Linked DNA regions of Arabidopsis thaliana. The protein of the gene in region 2 binds, or shares a complex with, the protein of the main gene of each other region. Each region holds a gene or a part of one and is shown on either strand. Other genes may lie near its edges.

Region 1 (7,656 bases), on a different chromosome or scaffold from region 2:
ATCCTCTGGCTTAGTCTCCTCAGGTTCCCTGTAAAAGAACAGGTCAACCTGCACAACACCATACCATATGAAAAATTCAGTCAATAAACAGGGAAAGTTTTTAATGAACAGATGCCTTTCTAATCTAAGAGCTCCAAGAATGATATTCTTACCATGACATCCCACTTCTGTCCAGCAGCAATGGTTCCACGCATCTGAAGGACCATGCGAGCCAGAAGCCAGAAAAGGCACCCAATGCTGTGCTTTCCCTTGTTGTTGGCTGGGATACCAATGTCAACAAATCTCATTGGAGAGTCTGTGTCACAGAAAGCAATGATTGGAATGTTTCCCAAAGCACCTTCCTTGATAGGCTGCAACACACACAAGACATTTATCAATAACAAAAATCATTAATCAATCACTAGTATATGAATCATATGAAGAGTTTACCTGGTGGTCAGTTCTTGGGTCAGTAAGAATCAACAGCCTTGGTTCACTGAAGGATGTCTGCATCTGATTGGTGAAGGTACCAGGAGTGTGTCTTCCAGCAATGGCATTGGCTCCAGTGTACTGAGCAAACTTCAACACAGCTCTCTGTCCATAGGGCCTAGCTGACTGGACGATGATGTCCTGTGGGTTCTCAATGGCAACAATAACTCTAGCAGCCATCTGGAGCTTTTCCCATGTTTTGCCAAGGTTGAAGATGTAAATACCTGAGAATGACGAAAACTTCAAAAACTAAGTTCCATACTCACCACTTACAATTGTAAATTACAATAAAAGAGCAACAATAACACACACTAGCACAAATACAATCTCAAACATCAGTCAAAACTAAAATCTCAATTTTTTTTTTTTTACAAACACACAGAGAGAGATAGAAATGAAACTTGAGCCTTTGATCATTTGTTCATACATTTCTGTAAACAAGAACACTAGAGAAGACACAGAAACAAAAGCCTTTTCTTAGATACGAACGCAGAGAAGTGAGCGTGCTGACAAAAACGGCTAGTTGCAACATTTTATCTTTTCTCAGTCAGCGACATATTTAGATCCGTCGTGAGTAAAATCTACTCTCGATACAATAAAACAACCTATAAATCCAAAAACCATCTAAAACAAAGCAGCATAAACCAAATAAACAGATCATCAACATTTATACAAATCCGAAATATCAACACAGAATCTCAACACTATAACCATCAACATACATACATACAGATAGTTTATCAAAAAATATACGAGAAATTACCATCGTTGCGTCTCTTGAAGACGTAACGCTCCATCTGGTAATTGCAATTCTTGGTTCCAAGATGAACCTCAGCGGCACACATCATCCTGACATCAGCTTCCTTCTGAGAGAGCTGCGCTGAGCTAGCAGATCCATTAGTCGCCATTTTCTTATCTCTCTTCTTCTTCTTCGCCGGGAACTAATCGCCGCGATAAGCTTTTTTCACTCAGTAAATCACACGAAGAGGCGACGAAAGGCTTATAAGGGTGAAGGATTTTATATATCAAGCAAAACCCTAATTTGCAAAATGTCTATTCTACCCCCAAACTCGGTTACCCAAATTTTAATCGAAGCTAACCAAAATTAATAACTGGTTCAACTTCCGTTTTGTCTTAAACCGAAATCCAAGTGTGCACAGAGACACAAAAGATAATTTCTTTTTCTGCTACTTTGAAGTTAGAAGAAGAACCCTAACAATAATCTCTCTTCCTTTCTCTTCCGATCGCATCTTCTTCAAAAATTTCCCACCTGTGTTTCACAAATTCCATGTTTATGAATTCTTCATTGCTCTATTCTTAGTCACCTTTGATTTCTCTCGCTTTCTATCCGATCCAATTGTTTGATGATCTTCTCTGTAACAAGCTCATAAGGTTTCAATTTCTCTAGCTTTCTTAAAATTCATTCTTCGATTTCTTCAATTCTCGTGTCTTTTTTATTTCTGTATCGTTTATTGACAGTACCTAGACAGGTTTGAGCTTCATCTCTCTGGAGAGAATCCATGGGTGTCTCGTTTAAGATATCGAAGGTTGGTAGAAAGTTTCGACCTAAGATTTCTACTGAATTGGCTACTCCTGATTCCCCAAAAGCAATCGTTCTATCTGGGAAACCAAAGGTAATTTAACTTAGAATTTTAGTTGTATTGTGTTCCAACTAAATTCGCTTATTTTGGAAAGTTATATAGAAAATTTATTACGTTTGGTTCAGGCCACTGATGATAGCAATATTGGCGATGTTTCCGGGTTTTCGAAGCCATCTTTACCCGATATATCTCCAGGTTTGGATCTCAACGAACCACTTTGACACATAATGTTTTGCTAAATTCTAGCTATGTTGAATTGAGTGCATTTTGGTTTCTCTGCAGATCATGAAGTTTCCTTCATATTGAGCCTCTATCCAAATGGGTACTCTATAGGAAAAACCTCTGAGGTATGTACTGAGAGTCTATATGAATTTATTTATCTTGTGATTTCTTGTATTTGAGTTTTAAAACCTTCACGTTTTCACAAATTTGAGTTTTTGAATACCAGGCTATGCAACAGATATCGTTTCGAGATGTTCCAAAGGTCTTACATCCGTATGATAGGGCAGCAGAGGGTCTCCTTTCGGTAAATCTTTCGAACTATGTTATTATAGACTTGATTTGAACATGTAATCAAAGTTTTGGTGAATGAATTCAAAGTACTTAGATTTAGTAAATGTGAAGATGATGTTTTTTTTCCCCACTTGTTCTACCCGAATAATGCATTTCACTGCACTACTTACTCGCGTTTTGTTAAATACACTTTCTGAGTTTCATTCTACTGAGTAAATGTTTTTAATCCCTTTGTACGCTTTATAGGCTATTGAGGCTGGCAGGCTTCCTGGGGACATTTTGGAAGATATACCTTGCAAATTTGTGGATGGGGTGGTTATATGTGAGGTGAGTTATCTGCAATTATTTTTTGGGATAAAGCCTTCCATAAGTTCTTGGAAACAGTCCAAACGTATATAAATATATTTAAAAAGAGCTCAACAGAAATTATCTACACTTAATCAAGATTAAAAAAATGTCGTAATTATAAGTACATGGAAGTTTATCTTCCAAACTCAATTGTACATGTATTTGATTGTTTCTGAAACATAATGGAGTAACTGGGACCAGAAGTAAACATAAAAAACCTAGTTATACTAATTTTTAATTGACTGCTGTGTACCATCTTACATCATCATGTTTTCTTTAATTTTTGGCACATACTATTGTAGGTGCATGACTATCGGAAACATACCTCATCTCAAGTCTCTCCTGTGATAAATAAATTGCGCCTTAAGATGTCACTCGAGAATGTGGTAAAAGATATTCCATCAATGTCAGACAACTCATGGACGTACGGTGATCTCATGGTAATCATGGTAGCTCGTGGCTTATAGGTCGTATATCTGAGCACTGAAACTATTATCTTCTGTACTGATCCTTACATCAACTGCAGGAAGTGGAGTCCAGGATATTAAAAGCCTTACAACCTGAACTCTGTCTGGATCCTTTACCCAGACTTGATAGGCTGAGTAAAAATCCTTTGACTGCTAAGGTAATATCTCATTAAAAAGACTCCTTGTGCTTTCTGTTCTCAGTTGTTTATTATAGTGTCTAAAATGTTTTTTTTTCTCTACTCGATAGCTCGATTTGTCGCTTTCTACTTTGCGGAGAAAGAGATTAAGGCAAATGGCAGAAGTGACAGTCATGTCTCAGAATAAGATTCAGGGGAAAAAGGTGTGCATTGATCGGCTTCCTGAAAGTTCAGAGCGAGGAAATTTGCCAGGGCATTTGATAATGCAGCAAACCAATAACAACCAGGCTATTCAAAACCTTGGTACTAATATGCTGGCGGGATTAAGAAGTCAGCCGTTGCAAGATGCACCAAATTCCTCTCTGGCCTTGGTACCACCTCAGCAACAAAGGTACATGGGAATTGGAAGTACAAGAAACACGCAGGATCAAGGATCAAATTCTGTCAGTGTCTCTGGCGCTTCGCCTGGTGGACTAGATGCGATGCTGCCTTATGGCTCTGATAGTATGAACCCTGGTACATCTTTTCATAGAAAGAGAGAAAGTCAAGAAGGACAAATGTCTTCTATGCCTGGCTTGAATAAGCGAACAAGGGTTTCACATATGGGTCCTGATGGGGTTCCGCAGCAACAGTTAGGGCAACGTATGGATGGCCTTCATGGATCCGATACAAATTGGAAAAATACGCTTCTACAACACCAAGACATGCTAGGCAGAAGTATTCAGTATCCAAATACAAGTATTCAGAGGTTTTCACCACACCAAATGGAAGGGGTTATGAATCAGGAAGGTGGTCCCATGCAATTTCCAGCTTCACAACAGGGGGGAATGAAATACACTTCAAAAGAGGAGCCATTTGAGACTGGTAAAATTGATGGCGGCACCAGAAACAATATTCCGGGGGTGGGAAGTGATGCAAATGATTTAGATCCACGTATTCAGTCAAGGATGCCCCATAATGCATTCATTAGATCAAATTTCCCTCAAACATCCTGGAATGTTAATCCTGGCCAGCAGATTGAAAAAGAGCCGAAAAAAGAAGAACAATTTAGTCGTAGGATATCGGCTCAAAGTCCTCGTTTGTCGGCAGGTGGTCCACCGCAGTCCCCACTTTCATCGAAGTCTGGTGAGTTTTCTGGTGGTTCAATGGGGACCCACTATGGAGCAGTTGCAGCAGCTCAGAAGGACAAGGCTGTTACTTCTATTCCTGCTATTGGTGCTACTCAGTCAGTGGGTTCTAGTGCTAATGAAGCTATGCAGCAAAGGCAACACCAAGCCCAAATGGCTGCAAAACGGAGAACAAATTCTCTTCCTAAGACGCAAGTTATTAGCACTGTTGGTTCTCCTGTTAGTGTCAATACTATTAGTGTCCCAGTTAATGCAAGGAGCCCTTCAGTGGGACCCCAAACTTTGGGCGATCACGCAATCTTGGACAGATTTTCAAAGATTGAACGAGTTGCTGCTAGGTATGAATGTTATGAAACCTGGTTTGTTGATTTTATTCCCTTCAAATTCTTTTTTATGATCTTTACTTTCACTTATGTGATACTTCTCCTGTTTTGATTCTGGCTTTACGCTAGAGCATTGCTGGCATTGTCTTATTCTCCTTATATCATTGCATTTATATAAATAAATAATGTTTGTTGGTGCATGAACAAGTTCTATATTTCATAGATTTTATTTTTTGGTTGATCCAGTTTCTTGTTCCATTTTTAGGTACCAACTAAACTGCAAAAAGCATAAGGTGGATGAGTACTCTCGAAGACCTCGCGTGTATGCTAAACAGCCCCTTACTGTTTGTTTATCAAACCTGTCTAACGAAGAGGTCTTCAAAGACGAGGACGAAGCATTATCAAAATCTATATTTGGTGGCAGTATGAATACATACAAGACCAGAGTCATTCACTTTGGTCAGATGGAACGTGTAATGCAAGGTCTGTTTTTCTTTTAACTAGATATCTGGCTATTGGTATATTTCTTTATGTGATTGACCAGACTCCAGTATCTTTTCAGGTTCGGTCCCTTCCTTCATCCCTAGAAACCGAACAAGACTGGTGATGTCAGAGAAGGCCGTCGATGGGACAGTAGCATGGTATCAAGGGGACGTAGATGAAGGGGATGTTTTTCAGGCTGAAGATTTTCTCTTAGCGTTGCCCAATACAGTAAGTTCACAGGAAATTTGATAGTTATCATACTCCCCTGCATTCTTTTTTGATCAGCAATATATCTTCAACTTGCATGCACTACCATTCAATGTAATGTTGATTTTACATTTAGTGATGTTTATAGGTTGTCGGGTCATGTTCTTGGGGTTTATGTCTCTGTTGTGAATGTTTTGTGTAATTATGAATATGGTTGGTTGGTCTATGGATACTTCTCTCTTGTTAGTTGCTTATGCTCGTTTATCCTTCTTGTCCAATGCGATCAAAAGGGAATGGACAATGGATTATTAATTTTTCTCTTATGTACGCCACTTATTTTCTGGAAGCTATGCTGACTTGCTTATTCCTCACTTTGTCACAGCACATCGCCGATCTACTTGCTACTCAATTTAAATCACTGGTATTTCTCGAGTTCTGAATCAATTATTTCATGTTCCTGGTTCTATGGTAAAGCTACTTAAAGATTGATTTATATGCTTATGCAGATGGCCCGTGAAGGATACATGATTGAAGAACATATTATGGCAAAGCCAAACCGTGGGGATACTGGCCCAATCAGCAGCCATCCAAATTCTGCGGGTGGTTATCCAAGAGGTTATTCTGCAAACGATATGCAACAGTATGGAGATGCAGTTGCAGGGCAAGCGTCTGGTGAGGCATCAAAACATGGGAATACTGGAAATACGCCGAATAACTCAACCCAGAATATTCTTGCAAATGCAAGGATGGTTCCTCCAACAAATTCTCAAGCCTTGCAAATGTCTCAAGGACTGCTGTCTGGTGTCTCCATGCCTATGCAACCACAACAGCTTGACCCACAACAGTCAGCGCTACTGTCATCACATTCACAGCAGAAAAATCAACAGTCAATGTTTACACAGCAACAGCATCCACAAATGCAGAGACCTTCCATGATACTGCCTACAAATCCACTATCAGCCATCAACTCGATGAGCCAGAGCTCTGGTATGCAGCCGGGTGGTCAGATGGCCAACAAGTATTCGCCTCTCCAACTGCAGATGTTACAGCAGCAGCAGCAGGCGGCAGTGCAGAAGAAGATAATGATGGGGCTAGGATCAGGTGTAGGCATGGGTATGGGTATGGGCATGGGTATGGGTATGGGAAGCATGGGAAATAGTATTGCTGGGCTTGGAGCTTTAGGCAACCAATTGAATATGGCAGGAAGAGGTATGGGGGGAACCGGAATCTCATCGTCAATGTCTGTTCCTGGCATCGGTAATATGGGCCAGAACCCAATGAATCTGAATCCAGCATCAAATTTGAATGCTATAAGCCAGCAACTCCGATCTGGTGCATTAACACCACAACAAAACGCTCTGTTTACACAGATTAGGATGGGCATGGCAAACCGAGGAGGTGTAATGGGTGCTCCTCAAACCGGGATAAGTGGCGTGTCAGGTACTAGGCAGATGCACCCCAGCTCAGCTGGTCTTTCCATGTTGGATCAGAACAGAGCTAATCTGCAGCGAGCTGCTGCTATGGGTAACATGGGCCCACCCAAGCTGATGCCTGGAATGATGAATCTTTACATGAATCAACAACAACAGCAGCAGCAACTCCAGCAGCAACCCCAACAACAACAGTTGCAGCATCAGCAACAGTTACAGCAGCCTATGTCTCAGCCATCTCAGCAGCTAGCTCAGTCTCCGCAGCAGCAGCAGCAGCTACAACAACATGAACAGCCTCAACAAGCACAGCAGCAGCAGCAGGCAACAGCATCCCCTCTTCAGTCTGTACTATCACCACCCCAAGTAGGGTCACCATCAGCTGGAATTACCCAACAGCAGCTACAACAGTCCAGTCCCCAGCAAATGAGTCAGAGAACTCCAATGAGTCCCCAGCAAGTGAACCAAAGAACTCCTATGAGTCCTCAGATAAGCTCGGGTGCAATGCATCCCATGAGCACAAGCAACCTCGAGGGTTGTCCAGCGAGTCCACAG
Region 2 (5,051 bases):
AAATGCTTAGAATAACTCATCGTGAATGATAAGATTATTATCTTTTGATAAGATAAAGATAGAAAATGATCATGCAACAACAAAAAAGGAAACTTCCTGAAAGAAGATAAGCTTAGTTCGGAAGACTACTTGGGCCGTCCCCTGAAACAGAAGTTTATCGCGCAAGAATAATTGGGCCTTATATCAGATCCTTTGGCCCAGCCCGTTAGTATTAGACAAGACCAGTTGCGTGCGTCATTGTTGAATATTTCGAAGTTTGATGATCGATCGTCGCTCAAAATTTAGGGCTTTTCACTTCACAATCCCGATTTGGGGTTTTCTGGTAAACTCCTTTAATCTCAGCTCGTCAGACAAAATCGATCTGGGATGAATTTGGATCTAATTGAGCAAAAAATTGTGTTTTTTCAATCTATTGAATTTCACATCCTTAAACCCTTGCATATTCAATCTATTGAATTTCGCATATTTTTCCTCAAATTTATCCAAAATCATCCCAAATCTATTGTGACGGGTTGAAAGTAAGTTTCTTTATCGAAAATCAGTTTGAATGAATGTTAGGGTTTATATTTTGATGGTGACTGATTCCGATTTGTATAAATGTTAGGGTTTATACTGGTTTCTGACTCTCTGGTAAGTATAGAGATGATTATATATTAAATGGTGTTTTAAGGCGTGTTCAGATATAGCTGTGCTTGTGTTGTTCTGTTTTGGCATTTTTCATTTGTTCTGTCTTTACTTCTTCTTAGTCAGTCTGTGGATTTCCTTTGTAATGGTTATTGGTTAGTTAGGAACTACTCTCAGGCCTTCTTCACATGACACCAAAGTTTTTTGTGGATTATGTGGAGGAAATTGCTATTTTAGTATATGGTCATTGAAGCAAGATAAGAACCTTAGAAAGCAGAGTGTTATAATTTTTCTGTCAAACTCATGCTGTAGTTGCAGACTTTTTCCTACTTCAGATTAAGGAGAATGGTTTTTTTTTTGTAAGCAAGAAGTTAAAAGAGTGAGAATCTATGAAGGCCCAGGGACCATGTAAAGTTTGGGAATGGTTTTAAAATTTGATGGCTTTGAGAATCGATCTGAACTATCCTTAGATTTTTGGAAAAGTGCAAAAAAGTGCAAAGTGCAGCATCCTTATATCACTTTATGAACTTTTCACGTGAGGTCTCGAATCCATCACTTAACATTAACACATAGTATAAGCTATACACTTGGTTGTTATTACTTATTTCTTCTTACAGTTCTTGAAGCCGAGAACATATATGGCTGATGGTTTCTACAATTAGGAACGTGATATGACTCATTTTAGTAAGAAGTTGTGATTTACAGCTGAGGAGTCTGTGTTATCAACTTGAATTGTAGAATCTTTTTGTTGTCAGGGAGGCGTGAAAGTGTCACATGTTCAGGTTATCGGGAAGTTATTGGCTTTGAACCTTGGCTTCCCTCTTAGTAGTTAGCAAGGTGAAATCTGCGTTTTCACTTCTTGATGATCCATATTTCACAAATGGGGATCTGTACCAATTAGACTGGTTTTGTTTAACTAATGCAGAGAAAGAAGAATACTATAGTTTTAATTAGCCAAAACTACAAACCCATTTGCACAACAGTAGTAATACTTCTTGAAGCTAAGAATTTCACCAAACCTAACATAATCTCAAACTAAAAGTAATTTACAGCTTGCAATCTAGTTTTTCTTTTTGCCACAGGAGTATCAGAATGAAGGAACAATCCCATATCCTGTGTTGTACATTAGCATCGTGTTGAACCCTTGCTCCTCGGCTTCGATTTCTCTCTTTGCGAACCGGCCATTGACCCGCGGTCTTATCTCTGCATATGCCTTCCTCGAAGCATACCTTATTGTCTTCTCAAATTTCCTTGTCTTCCTCTTCTCTCTGTATCTCAGGACCCTGGCTTCTCTGTCCATTGGACTGAGTTGTGTTACTGTTATCATCTGGCTTGCAGGGTCAGGTTGTTGCTCTACTGTCCCTTTGGGCGTTCTTGGGTGTGAAGCTGTTGTGACACATGCTGTTGACTCCGGCACAACACCAGTTTCCATGGATGAAATGTATGCCTAATGACAGAAACAAAGACATTCTCAATCCCCCTGGTAAGAGGACTAAAGAGAGTCGATGCAAAAGGAAGCATATATTGTTTTTATTATAGACTTCTGGTGAAATTTCTATGTGCTATAGATCAACTGTTGGCAGTGGATCAGTGGATTTGTGTGTATGATGAAAGAATTCACCCTGCTGCGTTATGGGAAGATGCTAAATTGAAGGGGTAACAAATATACAAAAGCCTTACGTTATGGTTAATGGAACCATTGTCGTTGTAGTGAGTCCCTGAGGAGCCATATTTGATATTGAACTGAAAATTCTGTTGGTTATGGCACTGGTGGCCCCTTGATTCTTCAAGTTTAAGCGGAACAACTCTATCTCCCCCGTAGCTCGTCTGTGGTACGCTGCAGTTTTGTTGGTGTTGACTGTATTCACCTGTGAATTTGTAGTCCATACTCGAGTTGTAATCCACAAGGTTTAGATACTCATCACTAAACAATAACCCATTGTTTTGGTTATTGTTATTTTTGTCTGAATTAGGGAACAGCCACGAAGCAACCTCCTTGGCATCCTTATCACCTTCTTCACCTTCCTCTTGATCCACCACCAGTCTCTTCTCTGGATCGGTCATTGTTTTCTCGCTTTGGTGGTGAGTAGTGGTCATGGAGCTGAAAGAGTTTCCAGAAATTGGTAGAATTGGAACTCGCTGATGGCGTCTAGCAAGTGGGTTTGCAGAATGAACCTCTGAATCACAGGCTGTGCATAGAGAGGCATCATCTGCCTCACACAAAAAAGCAGCCGGAGCACGCTCACATGACTCGCAGACCCGGACACGTTTATGGCGGGAAGCAACGCGATTGGCAGAGTGAACTTGAGCATCACAGCTCATGCACAAGTAGGCAGAATCTGCATGGCAATACACGGTGCAGGCGTTTGACCGGCATGTGTCACAGGGTCGTGCCCTGTTGTTCTCTCCACTACCTATGTCGTTACTCTCTTGTTTCAACATAATAACTCAGATGTAGTAAGTTTGATGGTGTGGGAGCTGGTATCTGAAAGAAGGGGCTAATAAAGCTTATATCTGGTGTGAGAGAATAAGTAGAGGGGAGATCGAATCCTGAGTGCCTACACGTGGCACAGCGTTAGTGGCTCTTACATGTTATTGGATCCTCTTGCAGCTAGTTGAGCTTTTGGGAAGGCCTATGTGTAAAGTGTAAAGTGTAAAGTGTAAAGTGTAAACATCTCCTCCTATGCACTTCTTCGTTGGGACCCGTTCACAAGTTGCTTAGGTTTTGCCACTTGCCATACTGAGATTCTCAAGAGGAAGTGGTCCGGATAATGCCATGGTGTTGCAGGCAAATTGTTACTATTTTTTCGTATCACCTTTTACTATTTTCATATGCATTTTATTTAAAGTAAAGCTAGATTCGTTTTATCTCTTTGGCTTTATACAAAGTTTAAGTGGTTGAATATTCATCCTGAACCTTGTGATTACTGTTCAGGTATCTCTCCGAGTAAGGCTTCGAGTGTCAGAGCCATCACCAACTGTTATGGGTTGACTACCTATACAAAGGTTAGACAAACTCGTGAATATGGTATAGTTGTTGTTCCATTATTTGTGAATGCATCTGCATCATTTAGAAAGATTTGCAATTGAAACTTTCGAAGGATTTTCTGATGAAAAGTGTTATAATGTTTAATCTGGTTCATAAAGTCATGGTAATGAGAATCATATCGGAAAAGTGACATGAAAAACATAGAGACGGTGGATTTTCTAGGATCAAACTCGAATCCGCCAAGTAGTCTTGAGACTACAAATTAGAATTTACCTGACGCACAAGTTAAAACTTAAAAGGCATTTTGGAGTCCACATGAGCAATAATTAGATTTATCATATATAGTATGTAGAAATTTGCACTTGGTAACCATTATAGTAAGTAGTTACAAAACATGACTCATGAGTGTTGTCACATCTCTGTAATTTGGGTTTATGATGATACTCTATACTATTTATTGTAGCTTTATTAGATCTCAACCTGTGGAAGTAATCTAATACAAACGACACTTGTATGGAATTTTCAGGACATGTTTCTAAGATCACAGAGGTAATTGTGAAGTTTTCTGCTACACTCATTTACTAGTCCACATGATCCATAGATGCAATTTAACCATCTTCACTCTATTTGGTGACCCATTCATGTGTTTAGCATCGTGGGTTTTCCTGTACTAATAACCATTAGTACTTGGAGTTGCCTTGTTGGTGTTATGCTCATAATGTTTACTATGTGGAAGCTACAGGATACGATACTCTCTAGGTTTGAGGACTAGCTCCAGTTACGCTTTTGGGTCCAGTGAATGTATGATACCCATTATGTGGTCCAAAAAGAATGAGATTTGACGGACGCTCTAGTGGCCAAATTCATATGGCTACCTTCACTCTATGCCTTAAGAGCTGAAAAGTGAGTGTTTTTTTTTTGTATAAAATGCTGGTCCTAGGATACACTTTTCGCATCTCTTCCTCTTTCATATTTGCTTACACCGCACTTCTCTTTCCCATTTTGAACTTTAAACTTTGAAAAGTTTTTTTTTGCTTGGTAATTGGAACTTAACATACAAGTTCTTGTTATTTACTGGTTTTACGATGAATGTAATGGCATTTAGAATTGTTATGAAATGGTTATATGATCATTGAATTCTAAAGAAAAGATTCTAGGTTCTTTAGTAAGCATTTTTGGAGATCTTTATCCTGCCAAGTTGGATAAGTTGAGGCATCTTTGGCTTTTAGTGCTTTGGTGATGAAATTTTTTGGAGATTGTAACGTGGTTCGAGTTCATGAAGAGTAAATTGTGTATTGGCCTTTTCACTTGTAGCTCAAGAAAAAAGTAGTTTTGCTTATTATTGCTCGTTGACAGTCTCTAATTAAGTTTATTGTTGTAGCGGTTTGGAACTTCTCTCACATGTGTAGGCCTTCGGATAACTGTTACGAGTAATAGA
Region 3 (6,900 bases), on a different chromosome or scaffold from region 2:
ATGCTTAAACCAAGAAAGAGAGATATTGACATAACCAAAAGTGTACTAGAAACCATTATAAGTTTTGAAGGTTTTAGGTGGGTTTAAGGGTTTGAATTGGGTTTGAGACATTTAGAAGGCTATTGATTGGTGAGTATTTATAGAGCATATATAATGGAGTTTTGATTCCTTAATGATTAGTTATATATTGTTAATATTTCAGTCTTTGAGCTTTACTTTAATTTTCTTTAAGAAAAAAGGTGAGTTTAGTGTGGGTAATGTGAAAAACGAAACAGCCTGGAGAGCATACACATCAAAACTATAGTGCGATACATCATAAACATTAAATTAACTATTGTTAATGTGTTACATCCTAAGCTTAGCCAGCCTAATTTAAACATCTCACTTTTTATATATATAGTGGAGTTTGTAAAATTTCAACTTTTTGGACGGTACCATTTCATCATAAATCTTTTAAAATTAATGTGATTGGCCTTTACCTCTTGATTGCGTAGACAGACTAATTGGATATAATATGATTTATAAATGGTTAACAATCAAATAATAATTTTGAATTGATGTAACGAGTAACAAATTAAAAGGATTGGTCATCGATTAATATGCTCTCTTCTTATCTCATTGTTTTGTTTCTCTCGGAGTTGTCAATTTACACAGCACAAACAAAAGTCTTGAAATTCTCTACAACTACTGTTACGTTTTTTTTCCGGCGAGCTGAGCTGAACGCAAATAATCTCCCTCTTCTCTACTAATCTCACCGGAAACAAAAAAAAAACTTTCTATCCTCCTCCGACGTCGTTAGACACACAAACACTCATACAATGATACAAACTCTCATACCAACTGAAGTGTGACTAATATGGCATCATCAGCATCATGTCACCACTTCCACTAGCAGTTGACAATGGTCGCTTTCGAGGTACAGGGAGTTCCAGAATGATGAGGAAATAGGACCGTTCTGATTCTCGGATGTATTGAACCTCACCGTTCATTAGCTTTAAAATCTTTCGACATACGCTTAGACCTAAACCTTCAGGGCTTGTCCACCTGCTGCTATGGAACATGTCTCGGACTAGCTCTGGAGGCAGACCTTCACCTGGACACGCCATTCTGCAAACAACGAATAAAGACATAACAAAGACACCAACACATGAAACCCAAGTTTTACACTTTTGAGCTGGTTTTCATCAATTTGAAAACATTACATTCCTTGACTGCTAATTCTAGGCCTATGGATGTGTCTAAAAGTTCCCAAGTCGACTAAACCGAATACAAAAATCAAACTAATCTAGGTTCCAACTAAACAATAACCAAAACAAATAGTGAATTGGTTAAAACCTCAAATTCTTTAAACGCCTAAATCAAATTCGTAATTAACCAAACCAAATTCATTTTCTTTATGTACAAAATAAGGAACCAAAAAAACCGGATTGCATAATTTTGGTTATGGATATGTGGAGACAACAGCGGGAACAATGAAATGTACCTGAATTCTGTGCGGATGGCGGCGAATCCATCAGCCATTTGCTTTGAAAGTTGGCTTAAATGGATCTCCACCCACTCTTGAGATGGTGCATACCGGATTATACTCAGCAGAAACTCAGCCAGGAGCTGTTGAATCCTTATCTGGTCTCCAAAAACCTCTATTGATTTGATCTCTTCGGGAATGTCACGGATCAGCTGAAGACCTCTGTCCCTTAATAAGAACATCGCTTGACTTACAATCGCGTTTATGACACTTCCAAGGAAAAACTCTTCCCTCTTTAGCACAAATGAACTGATCAATGAAAAAAACAAAATTTGGGATTTGGTCACATTTTGTGAAGTAAGCAAAACTAGCTTCTAGATAAATTCTAACTATACTCACCCGTCTTCAATGCTTTCAAGATCCATGTCCCCGACGATCCTTGAGATCTGTTTCTCGCAAGAAACACTTGTTTCAAGTAACTGCTTCTGGTCCTCGTTCAAGTCTGTGGCCTCCAACAATGAGTTTGCGAAACGCATACCGCTCAAAGGATTCTTTATCACCTGACAAATATAAGCCAACTCTTTTGCCTTCGTGAAACACTCTGTGTCCTGCCTCCGTTGGACTGCTAAAGCTTGCTGCAGCTCAGGGCTCGGGATTTGCAAGAAACAGAAAGCCCCAATAACCTTTCCCTCGAGGCTAACCCGCTTGTTTGCAGTCAATAGAGCCTGAACAAACTTCCCATTGCGGTCAAAGAATGGGAAAGGGAACTTATCCGTATCTTGGCCACCAATCGCATTATGCAATACAATCATGAACTTGGTTAAAGCATCAGGACCCTTTAGCATGCAACAGCTCCCAAACACTTCCCCGACAATCATTTTCCCAATCACTTCACTGCGAGACCAACCCGTAAGCTTTTCCATCGCCATGTTCCATTCCAGGCAGCACGTGTTCTCGTCAGCAGCAAAAATTGGCGGGATTAGAGGGTTTGGGCTATGTACAATAGCCTTGTAATCTCCTTGTATGTTGATGAACTTATCCATTACGATTTTCTGACTAGTAACGTCTTGTCCAACAAAACAAACGCCGACAATGTTGTTCAAGTAGTCCTTGCTGGAACAAGCATTCACAACCACAAAAACTGCTTTCCCTTGTAGTTCGGGGCTGAAAGTTTTCAGCTTAACCTCCACATTCTTTTCCTCGTCCCCTGCATTGCCAAATGCAACAAAATAATCAAATACCCGCGAATTGGTATATACACCGCAGATACAACATAGCTGAAGAACTGAATATACCTCTCAAAGCACGAGAAAGAAGCTTATTGACAGTTGCTTCATTCTCTTTGTATATTAAATCAGAAACCAGAGACTTCCCCATAGCTTCTTCAACTGAGAGACCTGTCAACTCTGCAATCTTAGCGTTCCATCCATTGATGCAGCCTCCGGCATCCACAGCGAATATAGGAACAGTTGCAGTCTCAATGAGCCTAACCATCTCTCTTGCAACTGCACCTAACTCATCAATCCCCTGTTCCCCCGCCATATCCCTACATGGCTGAACCACACCATCCACAACTTTAGAGTTCATAGCCGCCTCAGATTCTTTAAAAGAGTCTCTCAGAATAAGCTGGAGCGAGTGAATCGCATCCATTTCCGCAGTTTCCCATGGCTGACTCCGGCTCTTAACAACTTCAAGAAAAGCCTGAAAGGACGAACGAGGATGCATTCGTTGCCCATCATCTTTATCCTCCGGATGATGCTTAGCGCCTCCCCATTTGATTTCTTTCGCAGTGTGAGATCGAAACCAAAAAAGAAAGTCTCTTTTTGTGATATATGCAACTGCCATACCGCACACAGCATCCCCTAACGCAGCTGCACCGGGATACCCCGCATCGCCTAAACTATCAGTGCTTAATCCGGTTGAATCCGCATGATTCGCAAGCAACCACTCCACAACATCTTTTATCTGAACTTCACTAGGAGCAACACCCAACGGGTAATACTTCCCGTGGTAAAGAAATGCTGCACCGTCACATTTCACTAAGTCCATGATACTGGGACTCTGTGTAACAATTCCAGCAGGCGAGTCACGCAGAAGCATATCACATAACAGTGTCTGCGTTCTCAAAACGCGTTTCTCTGACATTTGCAAAGCTAACTGCAATTCCATGTTTAACTGTAAACCGAAAGCCTGCATCAAAAACTCACAAGCATACCTTAGCGGAAACGGTATGCAGCGAGAAGAAGTGTGATGGCAAACAACCAAACCCCAAAGCCTCATCGAGCTTCTTCCACTAGCTACATTGCTCCCATCATCTTCATTTCCATTGATTATAACCGCCATTGCTAAAGACGCAATAGATCCCATGTTAGCCATATACTGAGAGTGACAACCATGAGGAGCCCTAAGAGTAGAACCAACCAAGCACATAGACTGAGTTAGCCTATCGTCCTGGACCACAAGAACAGGTGTGGCATTGCAATCTACTATCATTCGGACACGGTTCTGCTTAAACAAGAACCTTGACGCTTGAGGAATATCAGTAGCAGGATAATGCAGTCCAATATAAGGCTCTAAATCATCTCGTTTACTCTCAGCTACAACTTCTCCATGCTCATCTTCATGAAACTTATAAACCATAACACGATCATAACCAGTCAAGTCCCTCACACTTTCCACGACAGTGTCACACAAAAGCTTAATATCTCCACCAGGAAGAGCCTGTAACTGAGAAATCGCACGAACCGCGAGTTTCTGCGATTGAACAGCACCAGCAATAGAAAGCGCAGGATCTTCAGTTCTAGCTGGCTCTAAATCAATAACAACACCAACATCAATCCTATGAAGAATGGCGTAAAACGGTTTACCAGTATTCTTGGAATGGATCCAAACCGGATTTAACAAGGTAATCTCTCGAGCAACGAAAGCACGCTCGAGTAGAATCGAGCTCGAAGAAGTGAACAAAGATCTCACATCAGTTCCCATAGCTAGAATCTCAGGTTTCTCAAGAGTAGGAACAGATTGAGGCATAATCCCTAACATTTCTCTGGCGTTTTCACTGTAACCGATGATCCGGAAACTGGATTCATCGACGGCGATCATACATCCGAAAGGCTGAATGTAACCACCTCGCTGGATTCGAGAGAGATAAGCTGTGATCTGTTGCTCAGGTACAGAGGAACCGTACGTCGTCGTTTTGAGTGATTGTGAGTAGTCGAATGATTTCCCTGATTCGCCGGATTGTTCGAAAACGGCGTGGAGTCTTGCGTCGACGGTGTACTGTTGAATTGCTTTGCTCATTGATTCAGTGTTGCTTCTTGGTCTGAGAGATTTCGTTCCCGACGATTGAGCTTGTTCTCCTCCTCTTCGGTTATTAGGAGTGTGACTTGACGACGGTTCTTCTTCTCCGCCACGGCCACCGCCACGGCCACCGCCACTACCCCCGACTCCGGAAACCATGCCGTTTGATTTTGAATTTGAGAAATTTCTCAGAATTACCTTGAGACAAGGAAGGATTTAGGGTGAATCATCATCCACTAGTTATCGGAGACGAATTCTGGTAGAGCTAAATTCTCAAGAATTTTGAACTTGAGGAAGAAGAAAATGGGGAGAATTGAGATCGGAGATAAGTGGAGAAACCAATAAAATAAATTGAAGAAGACGAAGCAAAATGTGTGCCTCTCAGATAGAGAGAGATAACAAAAAAAAATCAGAGTTTTTTTTTTTTTTGTCGTCTTCGCTTTTTGTTTCCTCATATATTTTCTGCGACTTTTTTTGTGTGGCGATTTTAGCAAATTACCTTTAAAGTTTTGATATTTATCAATTTAACCCAGAAGAGCTTTTGTTTTGTCGTTTAATGTGAGGGAGAGATTGATTGGGCCCAAGATCACGTGGGCTAATGGTTTATTCTCTCTAGTGGCCACACGTGGTTGCTGGGCCCATTGCGCGTGGGAGGGAGCCCCTGGACTTGTCGAATCGCATCATCAATTACGATTTCGAATTCGTACTATACAAGTTTGGTTTCTTCAATATCTTATCGTGGGTCAAGTCAACCAAGTGGTGTCCTCTCTATACAAATATTGAAATGTTTTATACTCTCATCGTACGTATATACTTCTCATAATTTGTACTAGATAGAATATAGAATCACATATTGGTCTCAAAGGGGTTCGAAGTAGTATTAGCACGCTCCATGCGGAATAGAATCATAAATTTTGCATAGTAAACTCGTCTAATACATAAGATATATTTTGGTCCACTTTGATATATACGTTGGATCTATATCATTACATTTTGTATAATACATGCATTGTACTACTTAGCATTACGTTTTATTGAATATATGCAATTCTTTTTTGACATATTAATGATTCTAAATTTGGATTATTTGGTGAAAGCATACAATTATGGTGCTTCGAAAAAAGAACATAAAATAAATTAAAGTAATGATAAAGAGGAAAAAAAGAGAGCAGAAAAACATATAAATGAGAAAAATCGTGTGCATGAAAAGTTAAGGGTCCATTACATAAATGATTTTGGGCCGCTCACAGTTTCATGTTAAGTCACTGCGTTCGTCCTTTTCTTTTGTTGAATGACTAATTTCTCCATCTCGTGTTGTTTGTTTTCAAAGCTCTATCATAATAAGTTAAGTATAACCGACCACTTTTTCTTTTTAACACTATTACATATATAAACATCCATGTTACCATGTATGAAGACAAAAACGATTATCTTATATACCCATAAAATATTATGGACCAAAAGTGAATAGTGAAAAGAAAACAGAAAAAAATTGGAATGACAAAAGAAAAACACACTATTCGTTGACAAAACAAAAGTTTAAATGTTTATTAGTGAGTAATGACCTCATATGTTTTGGTCTTATCTTGGACGAGATATGATTGGATGTCCACGAATTTAATCATGTACCTGTTCGCACTAGAGTGTACTAGTTCGTTGGCTAAGAATCGTCCACGTACAATAGTTTTAAACCACCAGTAATTTACCACGTGCCACTGAAATCAAATTAGCTAATAAACTACTCAATTACCAAATCACCCTTATAAACTCTCAATGATTCTTTAGGCTTGGCTGCTAATTTCTTAAAACTTTTGCATAACTTTTGCATAAATAAGAATAAGACAAAAGATGAAATTAATATAAGGGTACAATCGTAATTCAAGAATTTCCAAAATTCGTTCTTTAGTATAACGAAGAACTAGCTAGACATTATTAGGCATTGGGGCATACTTTAAAGCCCAAAACTAAGCCCTCCCATACTAATAAATCAGGAGCCCAAATTGGAAAAAACGACTTTAATAGCCTTTGGGTAATACTTTAAAGCCCAAGCCCAATTTAGAAACATCTAACATTTCTGAAGTGTTCGTTCTCTCATAATCTCTGAAGAAATCAGAGTAAAAGGTAAAGTAAAATTT

Evidence for each region.
Region 1: CO (region 2) and AT1G72390 share a complex: the UniProt entries of both Arabidopsis thaliana proteins name them as parts of the red light-dependent nuclear complex.
Region 3: CO (region 2) and PHYB share a complex: the UniProt entries of both Arabidopsis thaliana proteins name them as parts of the red light-dependent nuclear complex.

What each region holds. Positions count from the first base shown.
Region 1 is NC_003070.9:27,243,467-27,251,122, forward strand, and holds the start of AT1G72390 (nuclear receptor coactivator), read left to right. Parts: upstream 1-1,615; 5' UTR 1,616-1,860; intron 1,861-1,947; exon of another isoform or gene 1,948-1,958; 5' UTR 1,959-1,988; coding exon 1,989-2,102; intron 2,103-2,194; coding exon 2,195-2,264; intron 2,265-2,351; coding exon 2,352-2,416; intron 2,417-2,517; coding exon 2,518-2,595; intron 2,596-2,828; coding exon 2,829-2,909; intron 2,910-3,232; coding exon 3,233-3,370; intron 3,371-3,456; coding exon 3,457-3,555; intron 3,556-3,644; coding exon 3,645-4,999; intron 5,000-5,249; coding exon 5,250-5,467; intron 5,468-5,546; coding exon 5,547-5,695; intron 5,696-6,056; coding exon 6,057-6,095; intron 6,096-6,180; coding exon 6,181-7,656. Other genes in the region: P40 (40s ribosomal protein SA), read right to left, coding at 1-48, 153-350, 430-692, 1,232-1,376. UniProt on the Arabidopsis thaliana protein: Triggers photoperiod-monitored flowering by repressing PHYB-dependent flowering negative regulation, probably through physical interactions with PHYB and CO.
Region 2 is NC_003076.8:5,169,632-5,174,682, forward strand, and holds CO (B-box type zinc finger protein with CCT domain-containing protein), read right to left. Parts: upstream 3,455-5,051; 5' UTR 3,067-3,454; coding exon 2,305-3,066; coding exon of another isoform or gene 2,164-2,304; exon of another isoform or gene 2,072-2,163; coding exon 1,712-2,071; coding exon of another isoform or gene 1,707-1,711; 3' UTR 1,418-1,706; coding exon of another isoform or gene 1,380-1,417; 3' UTR 1,273-1,379; coding exon of another isoform or gene 1,263-1,272; 3' UTR 531-1,262; downstream 1-530. Other genes in the region: AT5G15843 (uncharacterized protein), read left to right, coding at 1,263-1,272, 1,380-1,417, 1,707-2,065, 2,164-2,280, 2,598-2,751. UniProt on the Arabidopsis thaliana protein: Transcription factor that acts in the long day flowering pathway and may mediate between the circadian clock and the control of flowering.
Region 3 is NC_003071.7:8,138,103-8,145,002, reverse strand, and holds PHYB (phytochrome B), read right to left. Parts: upstream 5,241-6,900; 5' UTR 4,925-5,240; coding exon 2,761-4,924; intron 2,673-2,760; coding exon 1,865-2,672; intron 1,775-1,864; coding exon 1,484-1,774; coding exon of another isoform or gene 1,354-1,483; exon of another isoform or gene 1,108-1,353; coding exon 852-1,107; 3' UTR 542-851; downstream 1-541. Other genes in the region: XTH21 (xyloglucan endotransglucosylase/hydrolase 21), read right to left, coding at 1-56. UniProt on the Arabidopsis thaliana protein: Regulatory photoreceptor which exists in two forms that are reversibly interconvertible by light: the Pr form that absorbs maximally in the red region of the spectrum and the Pfr form that absorbs maximally in the far-red region.